Oryctolagus cuniculus: one gene and its partners. The protein of the gene in region 3 purifies or fractionates together with the protein of the main gene of each other region. This does not show direct contact. Links are inferred from orthologs where the notes say so. Each region holds a gene or a part of one and is shown on either strand. Other genes may lie near its edges. The genes, in order: GNAS, C1QBP, MAGED2, NAP1L1 and NAP1L4.

The links.
Region 1: the proteins of MAGED2 (region 3) and GNAS purify together in Homo sapiens (affinity purification with mass spectrometry; 3 studies listed by BioGRID, counting the BioPlex papers as one, with this or other methods). This does not show direct contact. The link is inferred for Oryctolagus cuniculus from reciprocal best matches to the Homo sapiens genes MAGED2 and GNAS.
Region 2: the proteins of MAGED2 (region 3) and C1QBP purify together in Homo sapiens (affinity purification with mass spectrometry; 3 studies listed by BioGRID and IntAct, counting the BioPlex papers as one, with this or other methods). This does not show direct contact. The link is inferred for Oryctolagus cuniculus from reciprocal best matches to the Homo sapiens genes MAGED2 and C1QBP.
Region 4: the proteins of MAGED2 (region 3) and NAP1L1 purify together in Homo sapiens (affinity purification with mass spectrometry; 4 studies listed by BioGRID and IntAct, counting the BioPlex papers as one, with this or other methods). This does not show direct contact. The link is inferred for Oryctolagus cuniculus from reciprocal best matches to the Homo sapiens genes MAGED2 and NAP1L1.
Region 5: the proteins of MAGED2 (region 3) and NAP1L4 purify together in Homo sapiens (affinity purification with mass spectrometry; 3 studies listed by BioGRID and IntAct, counting the BioPlex papers as one, with this or other methods). This does not show direct contact. The link is inferred for Oryctolagus cuniculus from reciprocal best matches to the Homo sapiens genes MAGED2 and NAP1L4.

Annotation. Positions count from the first base shown.
Region 1 is NC_091442.1:3,426,355-3,430,383, forward strand, and holds the start of GNAS (guanine nucleotide-binding protein G(s) subunit alpha isoforms XLas), read right to left. Parts: upstream 2,801-4,029; 5' UTR 2,786-2,800; coding exon 898-2,785; intron 1-897. UniProt on the Homo sapiens protein: Guanine nucleotide-binding proteins (G proteins) function as transducers in numerous signaling pathways controlled by G protein-coupled receptors (GPCRs).
Region 2 is NC_091448.1:50,894,849-50,901,056, forward strand, and holds the start of C1QBP (complement component 1 Q subcomponent-binding protein, mitochondrial), read left to right. Parts: upstream 1-2,611; 5' UTR 2,612-2,699; coding exon 2,700-2,925; intron 2,926-3,212; coding exon 3,213-3,363; intron 3,364-6,208.
Region 3 is NC_091453.1:38,860,546-38,865,487, reverse strand, and holds the end of MAGED2 (melanoma-associated antigen D2), read right to left. Parts: intron 4,729-4,942; coding exon 4,649-4,728; intron 4,557-4,648; coding exon 4,514-4,556; intron 4,197-4,513; coding exon 4,134-4,196; intron 3,310-4,133; exon of another isoform or gene 3,181-3,309; intron 3,006-3,180; coding exon 2,891-3,005; intron 2,496-2,890; coding exon 2,049-2,495; 3' UTR 2,041-2,048; intron 1,847-2,040; downstream 1-1,846. UniProt on the Homo sapiens protein: Regulates the expression, localization to the plasma membrane and function of the sodium chloride cotransporters SLC12A1 and SLC12A3, two key components of salt reabsorption in the distal renal tubule.
Region 4 is NC_091442.1:78,567,483-78,573,019, forward strand, and holds part of NAP1L1 (nucleosome assembly protein 1-like 1), read right to left. Parts: intron 4,259-5,537; coding exon 4,156-4,258; intron 1-4,155. UniProt on the Homo sapiens protein: Histone chaperone that plays a role in the nuclear import of H2A-H2B and nucleosome assembly.
Region 5 is NC_091432.1:762,335-768,661, forward strand, and holds the start of NAP1L4 (nucleosome assembly protein 1-like 4), read left to right. Parts: upstream 1-2,583; 5' UTR 2,584-2,721; exon of another isoform or gene 2,722-2,746; intron 2,747-3,661; exon of another isoform or gene 3,662-3,684; intron 3,685-6,327. UniProt on the Homo sapiens protein: Acts as a histone chaperone in nucleosome assembly.

The DNA of each region.
Region 1 (4,029 bases), on a different chromosome or scaffold from region 3:
AGCAGGCTAGATGTCCTCCATCCCCCACCCCAGCCACTTCCCATCCCCCTCCAGGTGAGTGTGCTTGTGCGCAATGCTGAAATCCAGTGTGCAGCCCCAATGCCCCAGATACCTGTGCTGCGTGTCTGGTTTTTCAACTGTAAAGGCGGGAGGGTTTGGCGAACGAATGAGAAGTGAGGAAACACTTAGCGCACAGGGAGAAAGAGAGAAAGACACAGAGGAACAAGGTTACCGAGGCGCCCCCCCGGGCCGGTGGCCCAGCCGGGTTCCGCCGCGGAGTGCCGGCGCACAGGTGTCATACGAGTGTGCAGACGCGCAAAGTTTCAGCCCGCGCCATGGCGCGCATCACGACAGCCCGTCCCCAAGTACAAGTACACGGTCGGCGGGTAATCCGGGGATGGGGGGGTTGCCGGGGATGGGGAACACTTGAGCGTGTCATGCACAGGCGGACACAGAGAATACGCACACCGACACACACCAACGACAAGCTGGCCGAGAACAAGCCGTGCCAGGCGAGGCGGGGGCGCGCCTTCCCCGATGGCCCTAGCCCACCGCGGCCCCAACAAACCTAAGCCGGCGGAGAGTGGGCGCCCCTTTCCGGCAGTTCCCGGCTCACCTGAAGCCCCCGCCTGTCCAGCTTACGGTCGCTGGCGCTGGCCTGTCCAGCCGGAAACGACCCTCAGTGTCGCTCGGCACCACTTTTCTCCCTGGAGGGCACACACCTCGGCCACCCGAACCCGCCCCAGCTCCCCTCCCGCGCCCGGGGCAAAGTTAGGGTCCCTCCGTGGAACTTCCTGGCCGTGCCCCCTCCTCCCGCGGCCGAGCCCCGCGCCCCGCGCCCCCTCCCCGGTCCCCGGCGGGGCTGCTGCCCCTGGGCAGAGTCCGCCGCCGCGTTACCTAGAAGCAGCAGGCGGTGAGTGCACATGTAGCCCATCTTCTCGGCCTGCAGCTGCTTGTCGATGAGCCTGCTGCGTTTCTTCTCGGCGCGCTTCTGGGCGCGCTTCTCCATGGCCTCCCTGCGCATCTGTCGGCGCTTCTCTGCCAGAGAAACCTTCTTGGCCTTGCTGGGGCTCGCGGGCTTGGGCTGGGGGCTCTCAGATCGACCACCGAAGCAGCCCCCGAAAGCCTGCACGAGGAAGTTGCGGAGCAAGTTGCGCCGGGGCTTGCGGCGGCGGCGTGTGCGGCGCTGGAACCAGTGGAAGCAGCCGGCGGCCCGCTCTTCGGACTCGTCCCCGCTGGAGGAGTCGGCGTCGCCGCTGGTCGACCCCTCGTCGTCGTAGCGGCGGCGGCTTCGGCCGCGCTCAGCTCTGCCCCGCCAGGCAGCCGCGCGAGCAGGCCGCGGAGTAGGCGGGTCAGCAGCCTGGATCTCGGGGCTGGGGGGTCTGAGCAGATGGAGCCTGCGTCTGGCCCCGGAGGCAGGCGCGGCGGGGGCTGCCTGGGGGGCCCCGGCGGCTGCGGCGTGCTCGGCCGGGGCACCAGGGGCTCCACCGGCGGCAGGGGCTGCCCCGGCATCAGGAGCGGCTGCGGCGCCGGGGGCTGCGCGGGTGTCGGCGTCGGCTTCGGCATCGGCCGGGGCTGCCCCGGCGGCCGCAGTGCCAGGAGCGGCCGGGGCTCCCCCGGCTTCGGGCTCCGCCGGGGCGGCGGGAGCGGCTCCGGCGGCGGGAGCGGCCCCAGCTGGGGCGCCCGAGGCTCCGTCCCCCGGAGAGGGGACTTCTCCTTTCTCCGCAGAGGCGCTGACCGAGCCTCCTTCCATCTCGGCTGCTTCACCCTCAACTGGGGGTCTCTCGCCGCGCTCCCTCTTATCTGGGGCTCCGGAGACCTTGATGGGCGGGCCATCACTCGCGATTGGGGGGCTGTCCATGCTGACGGGAGCGTCGTCGACCCCGACGGGGGCGCTGCGCATCTCGAGCGGGGGTCCGGCGATCTCCATCGGGGGGCTGGCGCCCGCGAAGTTAGCAGCAGCTCTGACAGCCTCTGGGACCCAGAGGGGTGGCGCGTCGGTGGCGGGAGCGAGGCAGACCGCACTCGGGACCGCGATTGCCGCGCTGCTGCCACCGTCGCCGTTGGCAACTTGTGGGAGCGCTCGGGGGAGCCCGGGGGGTGGGCTGTCGTCCCCAAAGGCCTCTCCATCAAGCTGAAATGGCATAGCCTCCTCGGGGGGAGGGCTATAGCCTCCTCCAAGGCCAGCGCTGGCAGGCCTGAGCGCCCCGGACTTCCCGGGAGGAGCTCCAGGGACCCCCAGGTCTGTGCCACCGGGAGCGAGGTCGGGGACCCCCGATGCTGGCTGGCTGCAGCCTCCCTGGCCAGCAGGCTCCTCGAACTCAAAGGGCATGGCTTCTTCTGGTGGGGGGCTGTAGCCTCCCAGGCCAGGCCCGGCACTGCCCGAGACTCCGGGATCCACAGAGGCCTCGAGGCCTGCGATGGGCCCTGGGGTGGGCCAGAAGCCTCCCACGCTGGGCTGCTGGACCTCAAAAGGCATGGCTTCCTCGGGAGGTGGGCTGTAGCCTCCATCGCCTCCGAATTCCTGGTCAGCTGCCACGGCGAGGCCCTCCAGGGTGCCCCCGGAGACCTCAGGGGGTTCACAGGCCTCGGCGCCAGCCTGTGCGGGGACGGGCTCGCTGGCAGGCGGCTGGGTCTCCATCTCTTCGGCTGGGCCAGGCCCAGCACCGGGGGCAGCTGGCCCTGGGGCCTCCAAGGCTGGCTGTGGAGGCTGCTCCCCGACTTCAGGGGGGAGATGGCGTTGTCCTGACATATTATTGCCGTCGAGGCAGTAGCGCAGGCCCATAACACGGTGGCGGCCTCTTACAATGATGTGGGGGCTCCGTGAGACGGAGCACCCAACCGAACTAGGGTGAAAAAAATTATTTGAAAGGAAGAAAGAAAAAAGTACCAGCTGGGAAGTTCTGCGGCCTCACTTCCCGAGCGCACTCAGGGCCTAGAACCCCAGACCATGGCCAAGGCAGTGCAGTTCTGGCTGGTGAAGTCTTGGCTCCTTCCTGGCCACTGGTGATTCCCTCAGGCCCCCACCCGGCCTGCTCGGCCTTCGTCCCCTCCTCTCTCTCTCTCTCTCTCTCTCTCTCTCTCTGCTCCAGGCCAACACAGACTGCTTGGATTTGAGGAGCGTGCCGATTCGGTCCGAAAATCGCCAGTCGCGCGCTCTCTCTGCCACCAGAGGACGCAGGTCCCGGTGCCAAGCTGGTTCCCTGCACCGCCGGCCCGGCTTTGGGTAAGGGGCTGGCGAGCGCAGGCCTCGCAGGGACGTTTGGGCTCCTTCCACGCCTCTCCCTGACTGATTTGGAGCCTTTCTCCTCGCTTCTCCCCTTGGCCACACAAAGCTCTCCTGCGTTGCGAGCGAGACACGTGACACAAGACGTGGGCCTCGGGATGCTGGAGAACAGGAGCAGAATCGCTCCCTCCCCGCCCGCGCCGACTCTCCTCGGGGGGCGGGGGACTGCAGAGGGCTTTCTTTTTCTTCCTTCACCCCAGGATACCCCTGCACCCCTGCGCCGAAGCCCCTAGCCCCAGATCTCGAGCCAAGCGTAAGGCTCTAGATGCCCGGGGACAGTGGCGTGCGCGCGCGGGAATGCGACAGGTGGTCGTGAGCCCACCGGAAGGGCAGGGAGGAGGATGAGGAGCGAGGGGGGCTGTCGAGAGCGAGCGCACAGTTTGTTTTGTAAAACGCCTTGGGTACACTTGCCGCGGTCCGCCGTGGCGAGGCACTTTAGCATCGCCCACCCCCGTGGCTCCTGGGGTCTCCGCAGTGGCCGTGGGCGGCGCAGTAAGGGGTCCCTCTGTTTTTGTGGACAATGATGCGACGCAATATGGGGGTCTCCTGACTGCACCATGGAGAACCAAGCCAAGCCCCCCGCCTCCCCGCAGTGTAGCGGCCGCGGCGGCACGGAATGGGGGTCGCGGGACACGCTGGGGAGCCGAGCCCCACGGGGCGCAGGTCTCAGAGCGCCACACATCCTTCCGCTCTGGGGAAGATTTCGGCTGCGGGGTTTATGGCTGGTTTGGGGGTGGTCTCGG
Region 2 (6,208 bases), on a different chromosome or scaffold from region 3:
TGTTTTAAGAAGTCTTTTTTTTTTTTTTTTTTTTAAAGATTTATTTTATTTATTTGAAAGGCAGAGTTACAAAGAGAGGCAGAGAGGTCTTCCATCTGGTTGTTCACTCCCCAAATAGCCACAACGACCCGGAGTCTGGAACTCCATCTCAGTCTCCCACGTGGGAGGCAGAGGCCTGAGCACTTGGGCCACCTCCCGCTGCTTTCCCACCGGCATTAGCAGGGAGCTGGTTTGGAAATGGAGCGGCCAGGACTGGAACCAGTGTTCATATGGGGTGCCTGTGTTGCAGGCAGTGGTCCTTACATTGCAGTTTAGTTATTCGCTGTGATCTTTTTTTCCTTCTTCGTAGGAAGTCGGGGGCAGTGTGGCTTTGCTCCTTCCCGACTGCCCAGCCCTTGTTGTCTGCGTTTGTTGGGGGGACATTGAGGGTCTCCACAGTCTCTTCCTGTCCAGATATTTTGAGAAGGGAAAGACACTAAAGGTTCTTCTCAGCTATGTCATCATCAAAAACAAATGCTCTTTCCCCAGGGAGAGTCTGGCCTGGCAAGATCTGTCCTCTTATTGTGTGGCATTTTGTCACTGTTTACCAAATGCGTCATCTGGCTGATAAGCAGGGAGCAGACCTGCCTTAGAGGCTCTGCAAAGACAGCGCAGTCTCCACCCTGGGGCAGGGGGGGAGCGAGGGGCACCCCCACTGCAGCGTCTCAGCTGTCTCCAGATGTGTGTGTCCAGTCCCGCCCTGTCAGCATGTGTGCCCGAGCCACCAGCCCTCACTCAACACTCAGGTTTTCAGCCAGGTTTCCGGGGTGTCAGCACATGTGGTTTAGTTGTGGTAACAGTGGTCACATGTAGATGAAATGGGATGTGACTGATCCTATATACCTCACCTCACAGTGTGGCTTTTCCACACGTTGCTGACTTTCTGGAGTTTTCCAGAAAGTTCTTTCTGTTTTGTTTTTAGTGTATTTTTCTCATTCATTTAATAGAAAGCAAGGATGTTTAGCCGAAGCTGACGAAAGAAATATAATGTATTTTAAATAAAACATTGGTCATTCTGTTAAAAAGAAATGGGGGGTGGGGGATAATTTATTAGGCTCCTCAGCAAATCCTCTAGCGAGAGGTATTCTCCAGGTCAGGTAAAACTCACCTTGCGTAATTTATATCCGGCTTAAGCACCCGAGAAGTTTCCAGAGACTCATGTTCTTCTCCGGGGGGCAGAGGATGCAAACAGCTTCTAAGTAGCTTTCATGTTTCAGTACAGAAATATGTTTACCCCTGTAACACTGAGGTAGTTTTTAATATAGTATTTAGTTTTCTATTGGGCTTTTAAGGAAGTTATTTTTTTATCATAGCTGCTCAGGGATGAATCCAGGTTGGAAAGCCCACCCTAGCTCCACGTCACTAACACAGAAATAAGACCTGTCTGTCGAGCTGCAGGGGATGCTACACCTTAAACTTAGCGCTTTCACAGTGACACTGCACCATAGCCCCGAGCTACCCTTTCCCACCTCCTCTGAGCGGCTGTGTGCAAACAGTGTCCTCAAGCAGGCGGCGTGGGGCGTGGCTCAGGCGGCTGTCCTGCTTACATCATCACAGAGGGTGAAACGTGGGGTAGGGCACCTTTCCTTACAAGGGCGAGGACCCCAATCCCTGTCCTTGATAAAAAGCTTTCATGCTGCAAACCTGCTGACTGGGAAGGAGATGCCAGATGAGGACAAGGTTTTGCTCGGGGAGGGAAATTGCACTGTGATACCTAAATCCTCCGTCCACTACGGATGTGGCCATGCATCTCTGACACCAGTGCTTTAGCATAAGAGAAAGCACGGGCCCCGTGGGCGAGAATGTTATGTTGTATTTCATAAGAATATTGTAACCTGCAGAGAAATCCCGAGGGAGGGAAAAAATCAGGTTGGCTCAGGCGTACGTTGTATTTTGAGTCTTAAATAAAGCTATGAAAAGATCAACTCCTGTGTATATATATAATGCTCACATTCGCACCTGACTAGCAAGTGTCCATTGAGAACAAGTCTTGTACATGATGCATGTCCCTTCTTTCTTGTGTGTCCTTGCCCTTATTCACAGAAAGCTGTTTTGAAAATATTAAGTATTAGCCTTACGATTGCCACAAAGCTAGGGAGACATTTTCTTGGTACCTTCCACACCCTGGCGAGTGCAGAACCAGATGTTAGCCATGGCTTCTGGCTCCCGGCAAAATGACTTTGCCTGAGAACTTGGATGCAAGGCCGGAGGGAGCAGGTGAAGCCAGTCACGAGAGGTTAACCATGGGCACCGCGCCTCGCGCCTCTGGGTCTCACCTGGCTGCAGTGAGGGGAGTCAGCCAGGCAAGCGAGCAAAGCCAGGGCTTGATGCACACGAGAGAGCAGAGAAGGCCTGCGAGAGGTGTGCTGCCGTCGAGTGTGGAGGACGTGTGCAAGCCTGGCGCGCTCTGAGAATTAACCACAAAGCTCTGCGCACCAGACCCCAACACACTCCCGGGGCGGTCCAGGAATCCGGATTCGAGGCTGCACCGGCGGTCCCCGGCAGAGGGCGCCATCCGGCCCGCGGTGCCTTCGGTCTTTGGAGCGCCGGCGGCGGGAGACGCTTCCGGGCGAGGGCGGGCTTCCGGCGGCGGGAGGTCACTTGGGCGCTTTGGCCCGGGTCGTCCGTCGCCGCCGCACGTGTCTGACGCCGTCCGCGCGATGCTACCGCTGCTTCGCTGCGTGCCCCGCGCCCTGGGCCCCGCCGTCGCCGGCCTCCGCGCCGCGGCCCCGGCCCCGCCGCTCCGGCCGCTGCTGCTGCCCGCGCCCCGGCCTTGCGCCCGGCCGTTCGGGCTGCTCAGCGTGCGCGCGGGCTCGGTGCGGCGGCCCGGCCTCCTGCGGGCTCGCGAGCCCTGCTCCTGCGGCTGCGGCGCGCTGCACACGGAGGGTGAGGGGCTCGCGCGTGGCGTGGGGGACCTGATTCCCGACGGCGACTGACAGCACCGCTCCCCGGCTCCCCCGGCCCCGGGTGCGGTTTGGGGGGTGGGGTGCTGCGGCGCTCGTGACGGAATTGGCTTCTCCGGGCGAGCGGATGCAGCTGCCCGCTTCCAGGCCGGATAGCGTTGGGGAGGCGAGGCGGATGCCGGGCAGAGGGCGGCGGTCCCCGGGTCCCCGGGTCCCCGGGTCCCTGTCGGGTGCTTGGCGCTCCTTGACGTCTCCGCGATTCCTCCCCAGGAGATAAAGCCTTTGTGGATTTCCTTACCGACGAGATTAAGGAGGAGAAGAAAATCCAGAAGCATAAAGCCCTTCCCAAGATGTCTGGAGGCTGGGAGCTGGAGGTGAACGGCACAGAGGCTAAACTCGTGCGCAAAGTGGCCGGGGAGAAGTAAGTGCACGGCGCGCCCCGGGGTGCGCGGCGTGGGGCGGCCTCTGGCTCGGGACCCTAAGCTCGCTGGAGCCACATGTCAGCCACCCCGTGTGACTTCACAGCGGGACCCTTCCGCAGCCGCCCTGTCCCTTCTTCCCCCTCCGGCCCCTTGAAACCGCCAAGCTGCCTTCTCTGGATTTGCCTGTGTGGGACATTTTGTGTGAGTGGGAGTCATGCAATATGTGGCCATTTGTGTCTACCTCCCCCCCCCCCCCCAAGATTGATTTATTGGCTTGAAAGGTAGAGTTAGAGACGTCTTCCATCCACCCCAACAGCCAGAGCTGGGCCAAGCTGGAGCCAGGAGCCAGGCAGCAGGCACTTTTTCCATGTCCTCCCACGTGGGTGCAAGGGTCCAACACTTGGGCCAGCTTTTTTTTTTTTTTTTTTTAAGATTAATTTATTTGAGAGGCAGAGAGTAAGAGAATTACAGAGAGAAGGTTACAGAGAGGCGTCTGAGCAGGGAGCTGGATCCAAAGCAGAGCAGCCTATGGGTGCCAGCGTTGTAGGCAGCAGCTTAGCCAGCTGTGCCACAACACTGTCACCCCCGCACCCCCGTTGTTTTTGAGGTTCATTCATACTAGTAATAGCATGTACCAATAGTTAGCTTTTTTAATGACAACATAATATTTCATTATGTGGATATGCTAGATTTTATTTATGTAAGGAAATGGGAGACAGACCAGAGGAGACAAGATACGAAGTCAACGGCCAAAATCAATTAAGAAGAAAAATGGGAGCCAGCGCTGTGGCATAGCACGCTAAGCTGCCACCTGCGGTGCCTGCATCCCATATGGGTGCCGGTTCAAGTCTTGGCTGCTCCACTTCTGACCCAGCGCCCTGTTTCTGCTCCTGGGAAAGCAGCGGAAAATGGCTCAAGTGCTTGGGTCCCTGCACCCACATGGGAGGCCTGGAAGAAGTTCCTGGTTTCCATCTGGCCATTGTAGCCATTTGGGGAGTGAACCAGCAGATGGAAGATCTCTTTCTAACTCTGTCTTTCAAATACAATAAATAAATCATAAAGGAAAAAAAAAAAGACAAGTGAATTTGCAAAGATGGCCAACCACTGGCATGCGCACAGACAGAACACGTGGCCGAGAGAGCAGGAATTTATTTACGGGCTGGATTTAAATAGCATAGGCCTGATAAGGGCCATGAGGTGCAGTGGAGCTGAGCTAGCTTTTCTATGGAATGCAGAATGCAGAGGGTAGGGTGGGCAACAGTACAGGGCGTAGGACTGAGCTGGTCTCTTGAAGGAAGGTAAAGGGTCCCTCAGGCAAAGAGCCACAATGCCTGAGGCTCATGTCCTTGTTCTGTCAGTTATCCATTCATTTGTTGGCAGGCATTTGACAGGGTTCTATTTACTTTGTGATTCTGGTTTTTTATTTATTTATTTTTTTAATTTTATTTATCTGACAGATAGTTATAGACAGAGACAGAGAGAAAGGTTTTCCTTCCGTTGGTTCACCCCCCAAATGGCTGCTACGGCCGGCGCTGCGCCAGTCCGAAGGCAGGAGCCAGGTGCTTCTCCTGGTCTCCCATGGGGTGCAGGGCCCAAGCACTTGGGCCATCCTTCACTGCCTTCCCGGGCCACAGCAGAGAGCTGGCCTGGAAGAAGGGCAACTGGGACAGAATCTGGCGCCCCGACCGGGACTAGAACCCGGTGTGCCAGGCGCCGCAATGCAGAGGATTAGCCTATTGAGCCACAGCGCCGGCCTTTACTGTCGTTTTGAAAGACAGATAGCTCCCATGTGCTACTTCACTCCCTAAATATTGAAATGTCCAGGTATAGGCTACGCTGGAGCTGGGAGCTGAATCCAGGTTACCAGGTTATTGCCTTAAAGGTGGGCTTTAGATATTCTGGGTGCAGTTCCCCTTATCAGACACAGGGTGTGCAAGTGTTTTCTCCCATCCTTGGGTGTTTTTTTCCTTTCCCTATGTTATTGGTATTGACATACACTTTTTTTAGTTATTGTTTGACTACACCAAGTGAACTATTTTTTTAAAGATTTATTTATTTATTTGAAAGAGTTACGCAGTCACTCCCCAGTTGGCCACAACGACCAGAGCTGTGCCAATCCAAAACCAGGAGTCAGGAGCTTCTGCGTCTCCCACATGGGTGCAGGGGCCCAAGGACTTAAGCCATCTTCTATTGCTTTCCCAGGCCATAGCAGAGAGCCAGGTATGGAGTGGAGCAGCCGGGTCTCAAACTGGCGCCCATATGGGATGCCTGCACTGCAGGCCAGGGCGTTGACCCGCTGTGCCAAAGCACAGGCCCCAACATACACTTCTAATTTTGATGAAGCTCAATTTACTGGGTTTTGTTTTTTGTGTATGTGGGCTTTTTTTTTGTTTTTTTGTCATTTGTGCTTTTTTGACATCACATTTGACAAACTGTTGGGTAACCAAAGTTTCTAGATATTTATGCCCGGATTTACTTGTAAGAGGAGTTTAGCTCTTTAGGCCCGTGATCACTTTGAGTCAACTTTTGTGTACAGTGTGAAGTGTAGGGTTCTGATGCTTTTTCCCCTAGGGTGCAGGGGTTTCGCCCATACACAGTGTCAGTTGACGACTGAAGCTTCACTTGAACTTTTCTTCCGGTTTTCGTAGCCAGTTTGGGGCCGTTAGAAATGATACCCTGATGAACAGTGCTGTGTTTCTGTGTCGAGGAACTCAGCTTGGTCAGCGTGGTTGCAGATAGTTTCTGGGGCTGAGCCTCAGCCTGCCGCTGTTGCCTTGGGAAGGAGCAGCCCGTTAGCTGAGCAGTGGTGTGCAGGGTGCGGGGTCTGCGCTGCCCAGCCACACC
Region 3 (4,942 bases):
CCTTAACACTATCAAGCACCCTGAACTCGAACTTTTTATCAGAATCACAGTCCTTGCCACCCTTCTGTATCCCCCATTCCCTACATTTTCAGATGGTCTTTGCCTGAGGGGCCTGGACACAATACCCACTAGAGCCCTTCCTGAGGCCAAAGCTGCCTCTGACCTTGTCTACCTGTCCCTGGTATTACCCAGTCCCCAAGGAGACCATGGTCTAGTCCCTAATGTAAGAATCTGCTTTCATTGATAACCACCATAGCAGTGAACACACACTTCAATTCAATAACTTTCCCACTTTTCAATCCTATTGCCTAAGCAATAAAATGCTCTGCCCTTACTACAGAGGGAAGAGGTGAGCATTACAAAGGCCTCCTTGTCCATAAAACTGCCCCAGTGACTGCAAGCCTGGAAATACAAGGATCAGAGATGGTGAAAGCTTCATGGGGAAAGGGCCAGGGCAGTACCCACCTCCAATCAGGGCACTGGATCTCTGAGAGCAGGGGTCAGTCCTCTCTTAGTGGGTAGTGTAACTGGGAGAACACCTTCAACCACAAAAGGACTTTGGTACCTTGTTCATAATATCCCCACCTCCACCACCATTTAGGTGATTTTACTGTCCCCAAGGATAACCTAACCAGTACCCTGACCTATGCCATTGACCTCACATCTGCAGAACTATCATCTCTCATCTTCCATCCCCTGTCTTTGGACTTCACCATCACCTACAGCTCTGCTGTCTTCTTCAGTAGAATCATCCAACTGTCTGTCTAACTAGCCCTCCTGTTTGTCCTGTCAACAACCCTTCCTAAATCCTTGGAATACTGCCAGACATGCAACAGGTGCTCAGGCACCTAACCTTCTATCCCCATTCATGGTCTTCACTGAGACTCCTATCCATACATACCTGCACAGTCTATCACTCTCTTCATGTCTCCTCATAAGCCCACCTATGGTCCATCTCTTCCACCATCCCATGTGTCTATGTGCAGAAACTACGGAGTCAGTAATGAAGATCGAGATTCATACACTGACATTGCTGCCATTGGGCCTGTGTCTTTATTCTGATCCAAACACCAAAACTCAAAACTGGGAATAAGCCGACACTGCTCTGCTTCTCAGTCCCTGCACCAAGATTACAGAGCATCTTGCTATATTCCCCCTCAAATCATGGGCACCATGTCCTATGGGTGCTTCCCCATTGTTCAACATCCTTCCACAGTCTCCTGTCAGAGTCCTGTCTGGACTTTCCCAGGTCCCATCCCCATCCCAGAACCCATTCAACGTCTTCCTCTCCACTGGCTCTTGCTCTGCTCATTTCTCCTTCCCCAAGAAAATGTTCCCTTGTTCTTTTATCTCCTTTTGTCTACCTGCCTCTTTCTCTCCTGTCTCACCCAGATTTCTCAAAAGGAGAGTCAACATGTCATTTCCAGTCTCTTCTCCCTCTGCTTCCTGCTCCAGACTTGCCCATCCCAAACCTCTTTTTCGAATTGTGTCCTTGGTGCCTCCAATCCACCTGTCTGCACCCCCACTGAAATCCCACCTGCCCTATTGGCTAGAGATGGGGCTCAACCTAGCCCAGAGAAACAGGCTAATCTCACTCCTGGGGATCCAACAGTATTATCAAAATAAACATAGATTGAGGTGGAAATATCCCGCATTCCTTTTTAAATGTGATGCCAAACTGACAGCCCACCAAAAAAAAAAAGCAAGAAACTCAGAAATGGCAAATAGATTTAATGCAGAGTGTCAACTTCAATTGATTGATAGTGGCTGCCAAGAGTGCTATCTTGAGTAAGTTTCTGAGGATGCACCCTGGCTTGAGGAGAAAGACTGCTGGGATTAACAATATCTGAAAACACAAGTAAAAGAAAATCAAAAAAGTCAGGTAATATCCACCAAACACGAAGGAATAAAATGCCAATGCCAACAGTGTCTTTGCACACCCTCCACTGCCTTCTCCAACCCAGGCCTTCCAGCAGCAGCCCAGCTCCACACCCCATCCCTGTGGGCCCCAGCTAGCCCCACCACAACCAAGGCAGATACCTGAAATCTCACTTGTAGGAGAAACCACAGGCACCAGAGCTGCCACTGGTGCTGGCACCAGCACCGCCAAGGCCAGCAAAGAGCCCAAACGTGAGAGTGGCAGTCAGGCTGGCACTGGCACTGAAGCCACTGCTGGCACTGGCACTGGCACCAGTACTGGTACTGGCACTGGTACTGGTACTGGTACTGGCACTGGCACTGGCACCACCACTCTCTTGGGCTTTGGCTTTAGCTTCAGCTCCTGCCTGGATCCGGGCTTTGGCCCAGGGTCCAATATCAGCTTCATCCCAGTTGCAGGGCCCAGCAGCATTCTCAGAGCCAAGCCCAATGCCCATTCGAGCTCTAATCTCAGCCCTCGCCTTGGCTTCAGCTGCAGCCTCAGCTGCAGCCTTCAAATCTGCTTCCATTGCCTCTCGGTACTGAGCTGCCCATTCCTTGGGATCCTTCTTTTGTACCTGAAACAACAGCCACAAGAAGGGTCATATTTAGAGAGCACCTAAATAAGGCACCAAGCTATAGGCTGTATTTAATATTATGAATACAGTTAAGTACTACTACCAACTATGTACCTAATAGTCCATCCTTGCTCTGATACTTATTAGCTTTATGACCTTGAACATGTCACCTACTAACCTCTCTGAGTCTCCGTTTTCTCATCTGCAACACGGCAATGACATACTACTTGTACAGGTTAAATAATTCAGATAAAAGTGCCCGGCATGGTGTTTGGCAATTAACAGACGCTTCTGATCGCTGAGATATGAACTACAGGCTGCTCTGCACATAGCTGGCCCCATCCAAGGGCACACCATGCTCTCAATATGCCAAGTTTAGGTAGCTCTCCAATTACCTTGCAGGCAAACTTGAGGACTTTCATCTTGCTGGTCTCATAGTAGGAGCGCAGGCCCCAAAAGAACTCATACTCAGGGGGATTGCTATTGGGGACTCTGGCATAGTCCAGGTACCTAGAAAAGAGAAGTTGAAAACCTTTATTTCTAAGACAACCCAGGGCCCACCAAGGCAAAGACTAGAGAGACTTTATGTGGTGATGTGCTCCACTGAACACTGCAACTTTTCTTCCAACATTGAGCCTCGTGCCACTGGTCTTGCCTGATAGCCACATGAAGGTGCACAGGGCACATGTGTAGGGCATTAGTTTGTAAAGAGGCCACAAGTTTTATGGACCTCATCACAATGACCCAAGATTCCTGTTGGGTGTGTTGTAAACAGAGGAGCCATTCTTCAGGCCCCTTGCTCTGAGCACACCCCACCCTAAGGGTTCTTATCTGCAATCTGGCTAAACCCTGGAGAGGTCCACCACAGAAAAAGATGGTAAAGGAAGAGATAGCCATGATCAGAATGCTGCAGGCATAGTCCTAAATTCCTGACCCTGTGTGTGAGTGTGCCTGTGTTCCTGTGTGCTCAGGTGGCTCTGAGTGCCTATGTGTGTGCTTGCACATTCTTCAAAGGCCAATGACATGGCAGGTTCTCACCAGAAAGTCAGGAGGACTGCTCTCCAGGCCCAAACAAGCCCCTTAGCAGCTGTGGGCCATACTTAGAATTCCCCTCTTGGAGTCCCACGTTCTGCGAGTACAAAACAGGGATGGGATAACCACACCTGTTTTGCAGGGCAGTAAGAAAATGAAATGAGATATACAAGTTACACCCCCCAGCCTGGTACCTGGCTACGTAAAGACACCATTTTATGGCATTTCTTTATGAGAATTAATGTCTAAGATGCCCTGGATAGCACAGTGAAATGAAGCAAGCCTGTGGAGCCAAGTCCTAAACACCATTCTTTCATCTGCTACCTGTGTAACCCTAAGCAAATGGCATTGCCCCTCTGAGAATCGGTTTCTGCCATGGACAATGCTAGTGATGATAATCTCTCCCTTGGAGAGACAAATGTGAGAGTACACAGAGTAATAGATTAGGAAATGCGTGTTACTCCTGTTCTATGTTCACTGCTCCAGAAATAACCCACCAGCTGCATGCACGCATGCACGCACACACTGACACACACCATGGTTGTATTACTCAGTTCTGAAACAGATAAAATGCATGGACCACACCAACACCAGAAAGACACTTACTTCTGCTTCACAAACTCATCAGTAATGAGCTTTTTCACATCCCCAAAGAGTGAGTGATGTATCCTGAGAACAGAAAAATGAAAATAAATAAATAAAGACAGTTAGGGCTGTGGCACTTCCCAGATGTGGTCAGAGGTGTTTCCAATATGAAGAAGATTTTCAGCACAGAGGGAAGCTCCATCGAAGCTGAAGAGAGAGTGAGAGGGAGCAAATAGTTCACGGCCACTCACCCAACCACCCGGGTCAGAACCCAGGACCCTCTACCCAGCCCATCACCCCCCACCCGCGCCACCAGACCACCAGGCAGATGCAATCCTGGGACCGTCCTCTCTTGCCAAAGGACAACACGGACAGCAAGCGCTGAGAGAGCCCAATCATACCCAGGGCGCAGCCCCAACTTGCGCAGCACCTCCCAGATGACAGCTGCAGGGGGAGGCAAGAGGAGACAGGGCCGAAAATGAACACACGGAATTCAGACCCCAGCCACCCGTTCAGCTGCGTGCCCCGCCACTCACCCTCACTGGATCGATTTCCATTCATGAAGATGATGCTAAGCAGCACCATGAGAAGGCCCAGCTTGGGTGAGTCCTTGGTCCTAAGGGAATAATGGACAGAGAAAAGTTTATGTGCAGGAGCCATCTGCAAGTCACATCAGGTGAGCCTCTCACAGCTTCCCTGGATATGGCAGAATTCTGTCCTGTCCAGGCTTCAAGCTCTATGTGACCCTGGGCACGGTACTTAAGATTCATGGACCACAGACTCCAATACAGTGAAATGAGAAAATCACACCCTCTCCTCCCCAGGTTACC
Region 4 (5,537 bases), on a different chromosome or scaffold from region 3:
TAGGCTCAAAGGAAGAAAAAAGATTGAAAAGCTCTTCCAGAAGGCAGCATAAAAGACAAAAAAACTCTTAGATACTGATGGTAAGCTGAGTCGTGAGTGGGGTGGTGGACCTTCAGATATGAGAATGCTACATTTTTCATAGTTAAAGCAATATGAAAATCCTTCTCTACCAAACATGCTTAGTGCGATCATTGAAAATCTAAAACCATTTAATGAGAACAGCAATTAACCTAAAAGGAAAAGGAATCAGACTAACACCAGGCTTCAAAAGAAACTGTGTACAAAAAGAAAATGAATTATAATGTTAAAAGATATTTTGAGAACTCTAAATTTACAACTTCATGACCAAACTGTTATTCAGATATGAAAGCAAGATAAAAACTGTATCACACATATCAGGCTTCAAGAGGTCTGCCACAGATTTACAAAAAAAAAAAGAAAAAGAAAAACACACAGGAGATTCCATATAAGGAATGGGTGGTCAAATATCTTGGTAAATTCCACTGTTGCCTTGAAGGAAAATATAATAAGTACTATTTTTAAACAATACAGATACTGAAAAATTTTAGCTTCAAAACAAGAAGACAATCTTACTCAATGAAAAGTGGAAAATAAAGAAAAAAGAAAGCACAACAAACGAAGATACAGGGAAAGATGGCAAGTGTTAAGTCCAAAATAATATAACCTCCAAGAAACAAAGTTGAACTTACTAATAAGAAGCAAACATCCTTACTGGAGGAAGAAAAAAGAAAGCAGGAGTAGGTATTTACAGAACTTACAGCAACAAAAAAGAAAATCATAAAATACAAAGGAGGACACTATCAGTAAAACAGAAGAAAACAAGATACATATATCACAAACACCATCAACCTAATAATATGGCTTCAAAATGTATCAATCTGCAACTGATAAAACTAGAGAAAGATAAATCAGGAGATTTTTAACCCATCTTTGTCAAAAACTTAGATCAGGCAGACAAGTTATAAGTCATGAGCTATTGATTCTAGCACATATCTTTATATTTAACATTTACTTTAAAGAAAGGTATTAAAGCCATAAAGATAGATTGAAAAAAAAATTACATGAATTAAGCATGTCATTAAAGAAACTGGAAAGAGGTATAGAAGAAACCTAAGAAATAATAACAGTACAGCCTGAAATTAGTAAAAGAAAGCAGCAATAAACAAAAACAGTATGGAAAAGGAAAATCTAAAGCAAAACTGTCCTGAGTAACACCAGCAAGGTCAAGACAATTGGCAAAACTAATTAAGATTCAAATATTGAATATGAAATGGAAAATAAAAATCAGATACTTAAAAATACCATAAATCACAATACTAATAGGTTTAAAACCTATACAAAATGCATACCTATTGAGAATCTAGAACTCCAAAATCAAGAGACCTTGACTGTATCAATTAAAACAAAGATAGTCAGCCTCAAACTCCAGAAGCCCAAGTAAATTTTTAGCAGAGTTCTACCTAACCATATAGGAAAACTTCATTTCTACCTTATACAAGTTGTTAGAGAAAAACAGACCAAAAAGGTAAAAGCAGTCCCATTCATTTCATTGAGCAGTTGAAATTAACTCCAAAGCTGATTAAGGTACTACCATAGCTTGAAAGTTTCTTTATCCCCATGCACATGTGCGCGCACACACACACACACACACACACACACGAATACACATTAGATTAACTAATTAACAATGTAACAACACATCATGATTAAGTTTATTCCAGGAATGCAAAGCCAGTGTATTTCCAAAATATGTATTTAACAGATTCAAAAGATCATCTGAATTGATACAGACAGTTGTACTTTTAAAAAATAGGCACTGAATTTGGATTAAAAAAAAAAAACAGGCACTGAATATAATGGAGATACTCATTCCCAATAAAAGTGGAAATAAGATAAAGATGCCCATTTTAATCCTAATGCTGTTATAAACAAAGAAAATAATTTGAAACATGGAAAATTAGAGCTAAAACTGCCATTATTTGCAGCTAAGATCTGCCAGGCAGAGGGAAAAAAGCACAAAACAAATTGGTAAGCAAATTTACCAAGTTACTGGTTACAAGGTCAATTTTATACAAATCAATAGCACTCTGTACATCAGGAATAGTCAATCGAGTAATACAATTAAAAAAAGAGACCATATTCACAAAAGCAACACAACTAAAACATATGGATATGAACCAGACTGTAAAGAAAACTGGAACTATTTAAGACACATGTGATCTAAATAAATACAAGTATACAGACGAAACAATATTTTAAAATGTAATTCTCTAATGAATCTATAAACTCAAGGTAATTTTTACCAAATTTTTGAAGTTTTTTGTTTGTTTTGAGAGCCCTGACAAATTTAACTGTCAACTCTATCCAGAACAAAGATCGGGTTAGATCAGCTTTAAGATTATGTTGGATAGTGGAGAGACATGGAAGGAAGCAGCCTGCCTTGCCAAATGTTAAAAAGACACACACTATGGAGTCAAATGGATTGTGATGATGATAAAAGAACCAAAGACAATGGAACAGAAGAGCGCTGCTCAAAGACAAACACAAGTATTTATAAGAACTGGATTTGTAATAAAAGGCAGTACACAAATGCATGAGGGAAGGACAGATTTAGTTAATTCACTGAAAATGAAGGACGCAGGGAAAGGGAATGGATGCTTACTTAACACCAAATACAAGGATAGCCTCTAGAGACTAAAGGCCTAAATATGAAAGGTAAAACTAAACTAGTCAATACCGAATGCAGAAGGAACTAGAAAGGAGTTCTTAACTTCAAAAGCACAAACCATAGGGCAAAACATTTTACAAAAATTAAAAATTTCTCTTTAACTGAGGAAACAAATTGGTAGAACTGACACAATGCATTACTTACAAAATCTAAATCTGACAAGGAAACATACAGAATACAAAAAAGATTTCTGCAAAAAACAAAAACAAAAACAAAAACAAAAGACAGTAACTCTAATAGCAAAACAAAGGATGCATGAGTAACCTAAAAGGCTCACCAGCTTTATGAAGTCATTAGAAATAAGAAAAATACAAATGAAACAAAATCAGCCCCCACTTCTTTCTTCTTGTGGCTTAAAAATAAATGCGTAGGAGCTAGCATTGTGGCACAGCAAGTTAAGCCGCTACTTCCAACCCCAGCACTAATGAAGTGCCAGTTCAAGTCCCAGCTGCTCCACTTCCATTACAGCTCCCTTCCATTGTGTCTGGGAAGGCAGCAAATGATGGCACAATTTCTTGGGCCCCTGCCAACCACATAGGAGACACAGATGGAGTTCCTGGCTCCTGGCTTCAGCCTGGCCTGGACCTGGCTGTTGCAGGCATTTGGGAAGTGAACCAGCAGATATCTTTCCCTCTCTTCCTCCTTCCCTTTCTCTCTGTCATTTAGTTTCAAATACGTAAAAATCTTAAAAGTAAAAAAAAGTACCTAAAAAACTACAAAGTTGGATGATGCCAATTTTTTGCAGACATAAAGATAAAGCACCCTTCATGTACTAGATATAGAACTTTTGGAAATCATGCCAGAAGTCCTCAAGCCTTGCATATGCCATTTAACTAAATAATCCCATAGCTGAATACGTATCTCAAAGAAATTCTTACATAGTTCCTTAAGAGGACATGCGCTAGGATGTCCATCACAATAAAATTTTCATTGATGGGGACAGGAATCTTTTAAAGAAAAAGAAGATAACGAATAGTGGACACACACTACAGAGAAGTTGGCAACATTCAGAAACTACTAACTGGAGACACACAAAGATAGCAGCCTGAACAGCCTTAAAATCATGGAAGATACACAGGCTATTGTTAACAATTTAGGTCACAAAAGAGTAAGAAATCTACATTTCTAATTTTGTGCTCTTCTAATAAACCTAAATATATCTCAGAAATGGTTAAGATCAGTTTGTTTCCTGTGGACTTAAAATAAATTTTAAATCCAACTCTAAACAGGTAGTACTGAGCAAAAATTCCAAACTTCCAAGAATCCTCATCATCCTGGGTACTAACAGACATTAAGGTTTCCACTATTACATACATAAATCCTAGGTGGCCTTAAAAATAGATACAACTGGCAATGTTGATCACAGAAAGATAAATAAGGAAAGGGCTACAGAAAAGAACTTGTACCTTTCAATGTATCCTGTTGGTGTTTCTACCAAACCATCAAGTCTTTCTTGAAGGGCTGCAAGAATCTGAGGATTTTGCATCATCTGAACAGTCAGTTGACGCGCTTTAAAAAAAAAGGGGTATTGAAAGAAGGATTTTATGAAAATATATTATGCTTTATAAAATAGGTCAATCCAATCATGAAAATTTTCCTGACTCACCCAAAAACTGGTGAGTAGAGATGAGCAGAACAAGCTTAAGAAAATACACTCTTAGAAAACCCAATGTTTAGGAAATGTTGAGATTCTAATGATCTCTAATGCATGACATTTCTCAAGGCCATTGCCACAACTATTAACAGTATGTTTTCTCTTCCTAGTGCCTTGTGTCTCACCCACCTTGCATTTTGGGAAGCTCAAAGCTTCATCCAGATGCCTATCTATGACTCTTGACATTCCTTAGATGGTAAGCAACACATACCAGAAAATTGCAAAGACAGTGACAATTTTAAGCCTGGGAGCAAGACGGAATGAGTGATCTGAATGAATGTTTATGTTTGATGATTGTGTAGTGTACCTGTGTATATATGAATAAAGCTAATGGTTGAGATAAAGGTTATGACTGAAGCCAAACAAAACTTGCTTGCTAATGGCTTCTAAAAATCATATTCAATCCAAATAAGAGCCAGATTTATGCAAAACAAATGCTATCTTCTCTTCATCAATTTAGATAATACACAAAACTGCTATTACTCTTCCCAATTTGGTTCTTGGAGGTCAACTTACTTCTGATACTAATTCAATTAATGGATGATATTCAACTGTGACAGTCAACATGCATTTAGAAACATCAATATTGGACACTGAAGATACAGTCCTGTATCTGGTAAGAAAATGCTACAAGATGAAAGCTTTAAGTTCAGAGTCTTTTCACAATTAACCTCCATGTAGCTCCAAAATGAAAAGTCTCAGGTCACCTGGAACTTAACATTCTTGGCCCAGATCTACAGGGCATAACAAAAACAATATAATTCTTGGCCACTACTCTTTAAAAAATTATCTAAGATAAATTCTGAATGATTTTTGCCTATACTTAATACATTTTTTGATTAGAAGAATCTATTTTTAGATGCTATATATTTTCTATATATTAAACATGGAAAATGCTGTTTAGAAGCACCACTAAAAATCACAGCCATGACTACCTATTAAAATTTCTAAATTTAGATGAAACTAACGGCAGTTATACCATGTCATTCCAGCAGAAGAAGTTGTAAACAGTGATGTCTGATGAGTCACTATATCCACAAACGTCCTTCCTTACACTATACCCTCCCCCAATACACAAACTCTTACTGAACTGGAGGACATGTGGACAACAAAGGCCCCCCCAGAAGGGGAATG
Region 5 (6,327 bases), on a different chromosome or scaffold from region 3:
GGCCCCGTGGAAAGCCCCTCAGGACCTTGGGAAGTCTCAGGGGATCCCAGTGGTGAGGGGGGAGGGGCCCTTGTCGGGGCAGCTCTGTCAGACACAGACGCTGGGAACGCTGTCCCCAGGCATTGAGGGGACGTGCCAGGAGGCTAGGGCAGATCAGGTGTCACGTGTGGGGACTGGGCGGAGGCCTGTCTCCCCCCACCGCAGGGCAGGCCCTGGCCTCTGCCCCACCCTGGGCTCTTAGTGGGCCCCCGTGTGTGGCGGGAGCCGCCAGCCGCGGAACCTGGAAGCTGGCAGAGGCAGGAGCCTCGGGGGTGCTGGGCAGCCCCGATTCTGACTCTTGCTCCAAGCAGCCACGGGCCGAGGACACGGACCGCATTCTCAAACCGTTTCTCTGGCACAGAAAAGCACCTTTGGGGCGACTCGGGGCCCTGTTCCGGTCCGTCCCCCCGCCGTCACTGTGCAGGGCTGTGCACACAGGGCAGCAGCTGCCTCCTCCCCTTCTGCCGGGGCGGGGCGTGCTGCCAGTGCCCTCCCCGTGCTGCCACGGTGCCGCAGCCGCCTGCTCTGGGCGCCTCCCCTGACCTATATTTGGGGGTGTGAGGCTCCCTGAGCTATTGGAGGCTCCCGGATGCCCCGGGAGGCTTGTGCCCCGCCACCCCTCCTCCCTTGCCGTGCCCCCTGCCAGGGCTGGGGGGGAAGTGAGGCCCAGACATTAGCAGAGCTGGGGGGGGGCAGTGGCAGCACTGGGGAGGGGAGGCAGAGGGCACTTCGCTCCCATCCAATCCTGAGATGGGGTTTCCAGGGGCAGCAGGTGTGGCCAGGTGGACTCCACCATGCCGGCCCGGCCAGGGTGGGCGACAGACAGACCCAGCAGTCTGGCCGCCCGGCCTGGCGCCAGCTCCGGGCCCCGTGGGCCGAGTCCGCGGCAGTGTCCCCACCGTACAGGGCCGCTCCGGCCCTGCCTGCAGCCCTGTGATGCAGGAGTCACGAGTGCCCATTCCACAGATGGGGAGCAGAGGCCCAGGCATCGGCCCAAGGTCGCCCAGAGCTGGCCTTGGGGCTGTCGCCCAGCAGTCCCTGTCCTGTAAGGCCACCACCCTCCGCACAGGCCGTGGACGAGCCAGGACGGTGTGTGCCGTGGGCCGCGGCACAGTCCCCCAGATTCTGTGCAGGTCCCAACCTTTGGTGCCTGCGGGACAGGGAGAGGCGAGCCAGGGATGGGCACGAGTGCCAGGACCCAGTGGCCGGCGTCCTTTACTATTTCTCCTTTTTAAAAGGATTTATTTATCTGACAGAGAGAGAGAGCCCGCTGGTTCACTCCCCAGTGGCTGCAACAGCCGGAGCTGGGCTGATCAGGAGCCCCTGCCTGGTCTCCCACGTGGCTGCAGGGGACAAGGACTTGAGCCATCTTCCGAGACTTTCCCAGGCCACAGCAGAGAGCTGGATCAGAAGCAGAGCAGTCGGGACCAGGACCAGAACCAGAACCTGTATGGGACGCCCGTGTCACCGGTGGCAGCTTGACCTGCTCAGCACCGGACTCGTATGGGTTCTGGTTCGAGTCCCGGCTGCTCCACTTCAACCCAGCTCCCTGCTAACGGCCTGGGAAAGCAGTGGACAATGGCCCAAGTGCTTGGACTCCTGCACCCACGTGGGGGACCTGGACCGAGTTCCAGGCTCCTGGCTTTGGCCTGGCCCAGCCCTGCAGCCATCTGGGGAGTGAAGCAGCAGATGGAAGACCTCTCTCTCTCTCTCCTTTTGTTCTGTAGCTCTGCCTTTCAAATAAATCTCTAAGAAAGGAGAGAGCAAGGCAGACCAGGACCCTCCCCGGCCCTCCAGAACCAAGGACGCGTTTCTGCTACTGAACCCGCCGCAGGGCCACAGGAGACCCACCGGCCGTGCCCACAGCGGGAGGGCGGACGTCTCCCTGCGGGTGACCGGGGCGGACAGAGAGGCGTCCCAGGCCGTGCCCTCGGCCCGCGACCCAGGGGACCCCGGGAGAGCGAGAGGGCGAGAGCCGCGGAGGAAGTGCGCCCGGGCGCAGCCGTCTTGGCCGCCGAGGACCCTGCCCCAGCTGACCCTGCGCGGCTCCTCCGGGGTTCACGTCCCCGCCTGCAGACAGCAATGCGCGTCCGCACCCCGCCGCCCCCAGCCCTCGGCGCGCGAGCCCCGTTACGGAGCGGAACCGACCGCCCGCGCCTGCACGGCTCCAGGCGGCCTCGGGGTCCGATCCGGGGCCCCGCGTCCCTGCGTGCCCCCGGGCGCGGCCGGGTGTGCCCCAGGCCCGAGCCAGGCTGCTGAGACCCCGAGACGCAGGCGGTGCCCGGGGCAGGGGGCGCGACCCCCACGCCCACCCCGGACGGAGAGGGGCGCGCCCGGAGCAAGGGGGGCTGCAGGGCACCCCCGCCCCGCTCCGCCGCGCCCGCCCTCTACCAGCGGAGCCCCCGGGAACGCGCGCTGCGCGCCGGCGATGCCATCACACGCTCTCATTTGCATACGCCTCGCGGGTCTGCGCGCGGCGCGCCCTCCGATTGGTCGCCGCCCGCCGCGCTCAGGCGCAGTTGACTTGCGTGGCGCCTGTCCAATCGCAGCCCGCTTTGCTGGCGGAGGGAAGGGCCTGGAGGCTCGGCCAATGGGAAGCAGCGTTGTTGGAGGCCACGGCGGCGCAGCCCCCGGAGCGAGCGAAGCGAGCGCCGCAGCCGCTACTGCCGCAGGAGGCGTGAGGTGCGGGTCTGCGAGGCTCGGCCGGGTAACGGCGCGCTGGGCCTGCGGTGGGCGGGCCGGAGCGGGGCCGGGCGGGGGCCGCGGCGGGCCGCGGCGGGCCGCGGGGGCCTGGGCGCCATCTCGGGGCAGGGCCGCGGCGGCGGTGCGGGGCGGGCGCGGGTCTCGCCGGGGCCGCGGGGCCCGCGCTGGGCGCCCGCCCCTCGGCCGCGCGCGCCGGGGCTGAAGGTCAGGGGTGCTCTGTCCCGCGCCGTGGCCCGACGCGCGAGCGGGAGCCTGGGCCCGCGCCTTCGAGGCGGCCCGCCCGGGGGTGCAGCACGGAGGGGCGCCCTGGCCGCTGCGGGGCGCTGAGAGAACGCACAGCAGAGCGCGGACCCCCGCGAGCTCCCCGCCGAGGGTCGCGGGCTCGGCCTGTGGGCCGCCGGGCCCCGCGCGGGAGCCGCGCCGCTGAGCGCCCTGCACGTCCGCAGGCGGCGAAGTCGGCGGCTCGGGTCGGGGCCGCTCGCGGGCCGGGCGGCCGCCAGACGCTCCAGAGGGGCGGGCCGCCCGGTCACGTGCCGAGGACTCGCAGTGCGGGCCCGGGGCGCTGCTGGGGTGGCGGAGGTCCGGGGGGGGCCCCGTGCGGTCCGAGGGCGGCAACTCGTTGGGGTTCTCGGCGCCAGGGCGCGCCGTGGCCCGCGGGGCCTGGAGGGGCCTGGAGGGGCCCTGCGGGGTCTGCGGGGTCTGCGGGCGCGGCGGCCCCACCTGGCGGTGGGAGCGGGAGCTCCCGGAAGTGCGTTTCCTGCGCGTGTCGGTGGCTTCTCACTTGCTCGGGGCGAGGGGAGGCTTGCTGGTCTGACCCGGTTTCCCTTGCGGTTCGCCAGGCAGCGGGTCCGTGAGGAGGCCGCACAGGTGCCCCGGGAGCCGCCGGGCGGTGGTCTCCCTGCCCGCTCCCGACCCGCGCAGCGAACTTGGGAATTGTGCTTGGTGAGCGTCGAGGCCTGCGGGACTCCCCCAGACCCCTCACCGGCGCCTGTGAGCCGGAGAGATCTGCGGTGGGCTGTCGGGGCCGGGCGCGGGGTCACGGGCTCTGTTGAGGGGACCCCAGTGTGGCCGGAGAAGCGGCAGGAAGGAGTTGGGTTCGCCTCCCTCCTCCTGTCGGTGCGAATCCTGCAGGCTCTGGTGCACCTACTCTGTTGGAGAGGAAGACTGAGCCCAGCAGGGGGGTGGGCGCCGTGTGCCCCCGCTCCTGCCCCTGTGGGGGGGAGGGCGCCCCGACTCTGCCCCTGCCCCTGTGCTGGGGGAAGCCGCCCCACTCTCCCTCTGCTCCTCTGCCAGGGGGAGCCGCCCTGACTCTGCCCCTGTGCCGGGGGGAGCGGCCAACTCTGCCCCTGCCCCTGTGCTGGGGGGAGCCGCCCCACTCTCCCTCTGCCCCTGCCCCTGTGCCGGGGGAGCCGCCGACTCTGCCCCTGCCCCTGTGCTGGGGGGAGCCGCCCTGACTCTGCCCCTGCCCCTGTGCCGGGGGGGGGGGGGGGGGAGCCGCTGACTCTGCCCCTGCCCCTGTGCCGGGGGGGAGCTGCCGACTCTGCCCCTGCCCCTGTGCTGGGGGAGCCGCCCCACTCTCCCTCTGCTCCTCTGCCAGGGGGAGCCGCCTGACTCTGCCCCTGCCCCTGTGCTGGGGGGAGCCGCCCCGACTCTGCCCCTGCCCCTGCCCCTGTGCTGGGGGGAGCCGCCCCGACTCTGCCCCTGCCCCTGCCCCTGTGCTGGGGGGAGCCGCCCCGACTCTGCCCCTGCCCCTGCGCTGGGGGAAGCGGCCTAGGAGTCCGAGGAGTCGCAGGAAGCCGCCCTCGTCCGGTCTGGGCGTGCTGGGCGCCTGGCTTGCTGCGTTGTCTGTGTGGAAGGCCTTAGCGAAGGGTAGAGGGAGAAGCATTCTGGGATTGGCTGTCGGGAGGCGTGGTCCGCAGTGGGGAGGGAGGGGTGTTCTGTGGCGCTCACTGGTGGTCCGCCCCGGCCGGCCGCTGGTCTTGAGCGTGGCTGGCCCGGGAGCTGGAGAGGCGTGTCCTGCCTCCGTGCTGTGGGAGAGCCCGCTGTGTGCGGCTTCTCAGCCCGTGCTCCTGAGAGGTGAACTCTGCGCTTCATTGTTGTCCAAAAGTGCGTAGCATCGTCTTGGCCTGGTGGTTTTGTGCAGGGTCGGTTGGGGCTGCACCGACCGCGTTCTGGCAGGCAGTGTCTGTCGCTTCGCTTGTGGGTGAGCAGTGGGAGCTGGGGCCCGTGGTTCCGGCGTGGCATGATGTGGCGTGGGAGGAGGTGCTGCTAACAGGGCAGTGTGGCCTCTGAGTACTGGGTTAGGAGCACTTGGGCTTTCTGACGCTCGCTTCGATCCGTCGTATTCCAGTGAGTTCCCCAGAAGACAGTGTGGGGTGGGGTGGGGACAGGCCCCTGTGCCCCACGTGGAGGTAGAGGGTTTGGGTTAACTTCTAGGCCTTGGCTTGGCCTGCAGCAGGACTCTGGAGGGCCCTGCCCGTGCGCAGGTGGACAGGGTGGCAGAGGTCGCCGCTGTGGAGCTGAGGAGCCATCTCCGGCCTGAGCCTTCCCAGGCCGCCGGGCGCCCGGGGTCTCCACCCCCGCCGTGCGCAGAGACGGGCAGACTCGCAGCAGCAGTGGGAAGTGGACACTCCGTGCTGCCCTGCAGAGCGAGTGTCTCAGTGGGACAGCAGGCGAGCACTGTCCATCGTGGTTTGTGCTTTTTTTTGACAAGAGATTTCATGGTTTTCAAGACCGAGCAGGGGCCCCGTTCCTGTCACTATTTGCCGGTCTTACCTGTAAGTCTTTTTTTCCAGTTTTTTTTTTTTTTTTTTTTAAAGATTTATTTGAAAGAGTGACAGAGAGGTTTTCCTTCCACTGGTTCACTCAGATGGCTGCAAGGCCAGACCTGGGTCGATCCAAAGCCAGGAGCTTCATCCGGGTCTCCAAGCACTTGGGCCATCCTCCACTGCTAGTTTCCCAGGTGCATCGGCAGGGAGCTGGATGGGAAGTGGAAGCCGGGCCAAGAACTGGTGCCCGTATGGGATGCCGGCGCCACAGGCATTACCCATCAGGCCACAGCGCTGGCCCGGTCTGTGAGCATGTTGTGTGATTTTTAAGATATTTTATTTTTAAATGGCATGTACATATTACATGTGGTCCTAAAGCCTCTTCTATATATATTTCTTAATCTGAAGGAGACAGATCTTCCATCCCTGGTTGACTCCTATGGCCTGGATCAGGCTGAGTCAGGAGCTCAGAGCAGGTGGCAGGACCCCCCCCCCCCATGCCCGAGCTGTCGGGAGCTGCCCCTCGCCTGTGCGTTAGCACAAAGCTGGATCCTCCGCAGAGGAACTGGACCTGAACCAGGCACTGCGGTGGGCATCCCACAGCACCCCAGCAGCTCGTCCACGTGCCGGGCCCTGTAGGCTTTTATTTTTGAGGGATTGATTTATTTATTTGAAAGGGAGAATTGCAGAGAGAGGTCTTCCATCCTCTGGCTCCCCAGGTGGCCACAACGGCTGGAGCTGCGCCAGTGCGAAGCCAGGAGCCTCTTCCCGGTCTCCCTCATGGGCGCAGGGGCTCAAGCACTTGGACTTTCCCTCT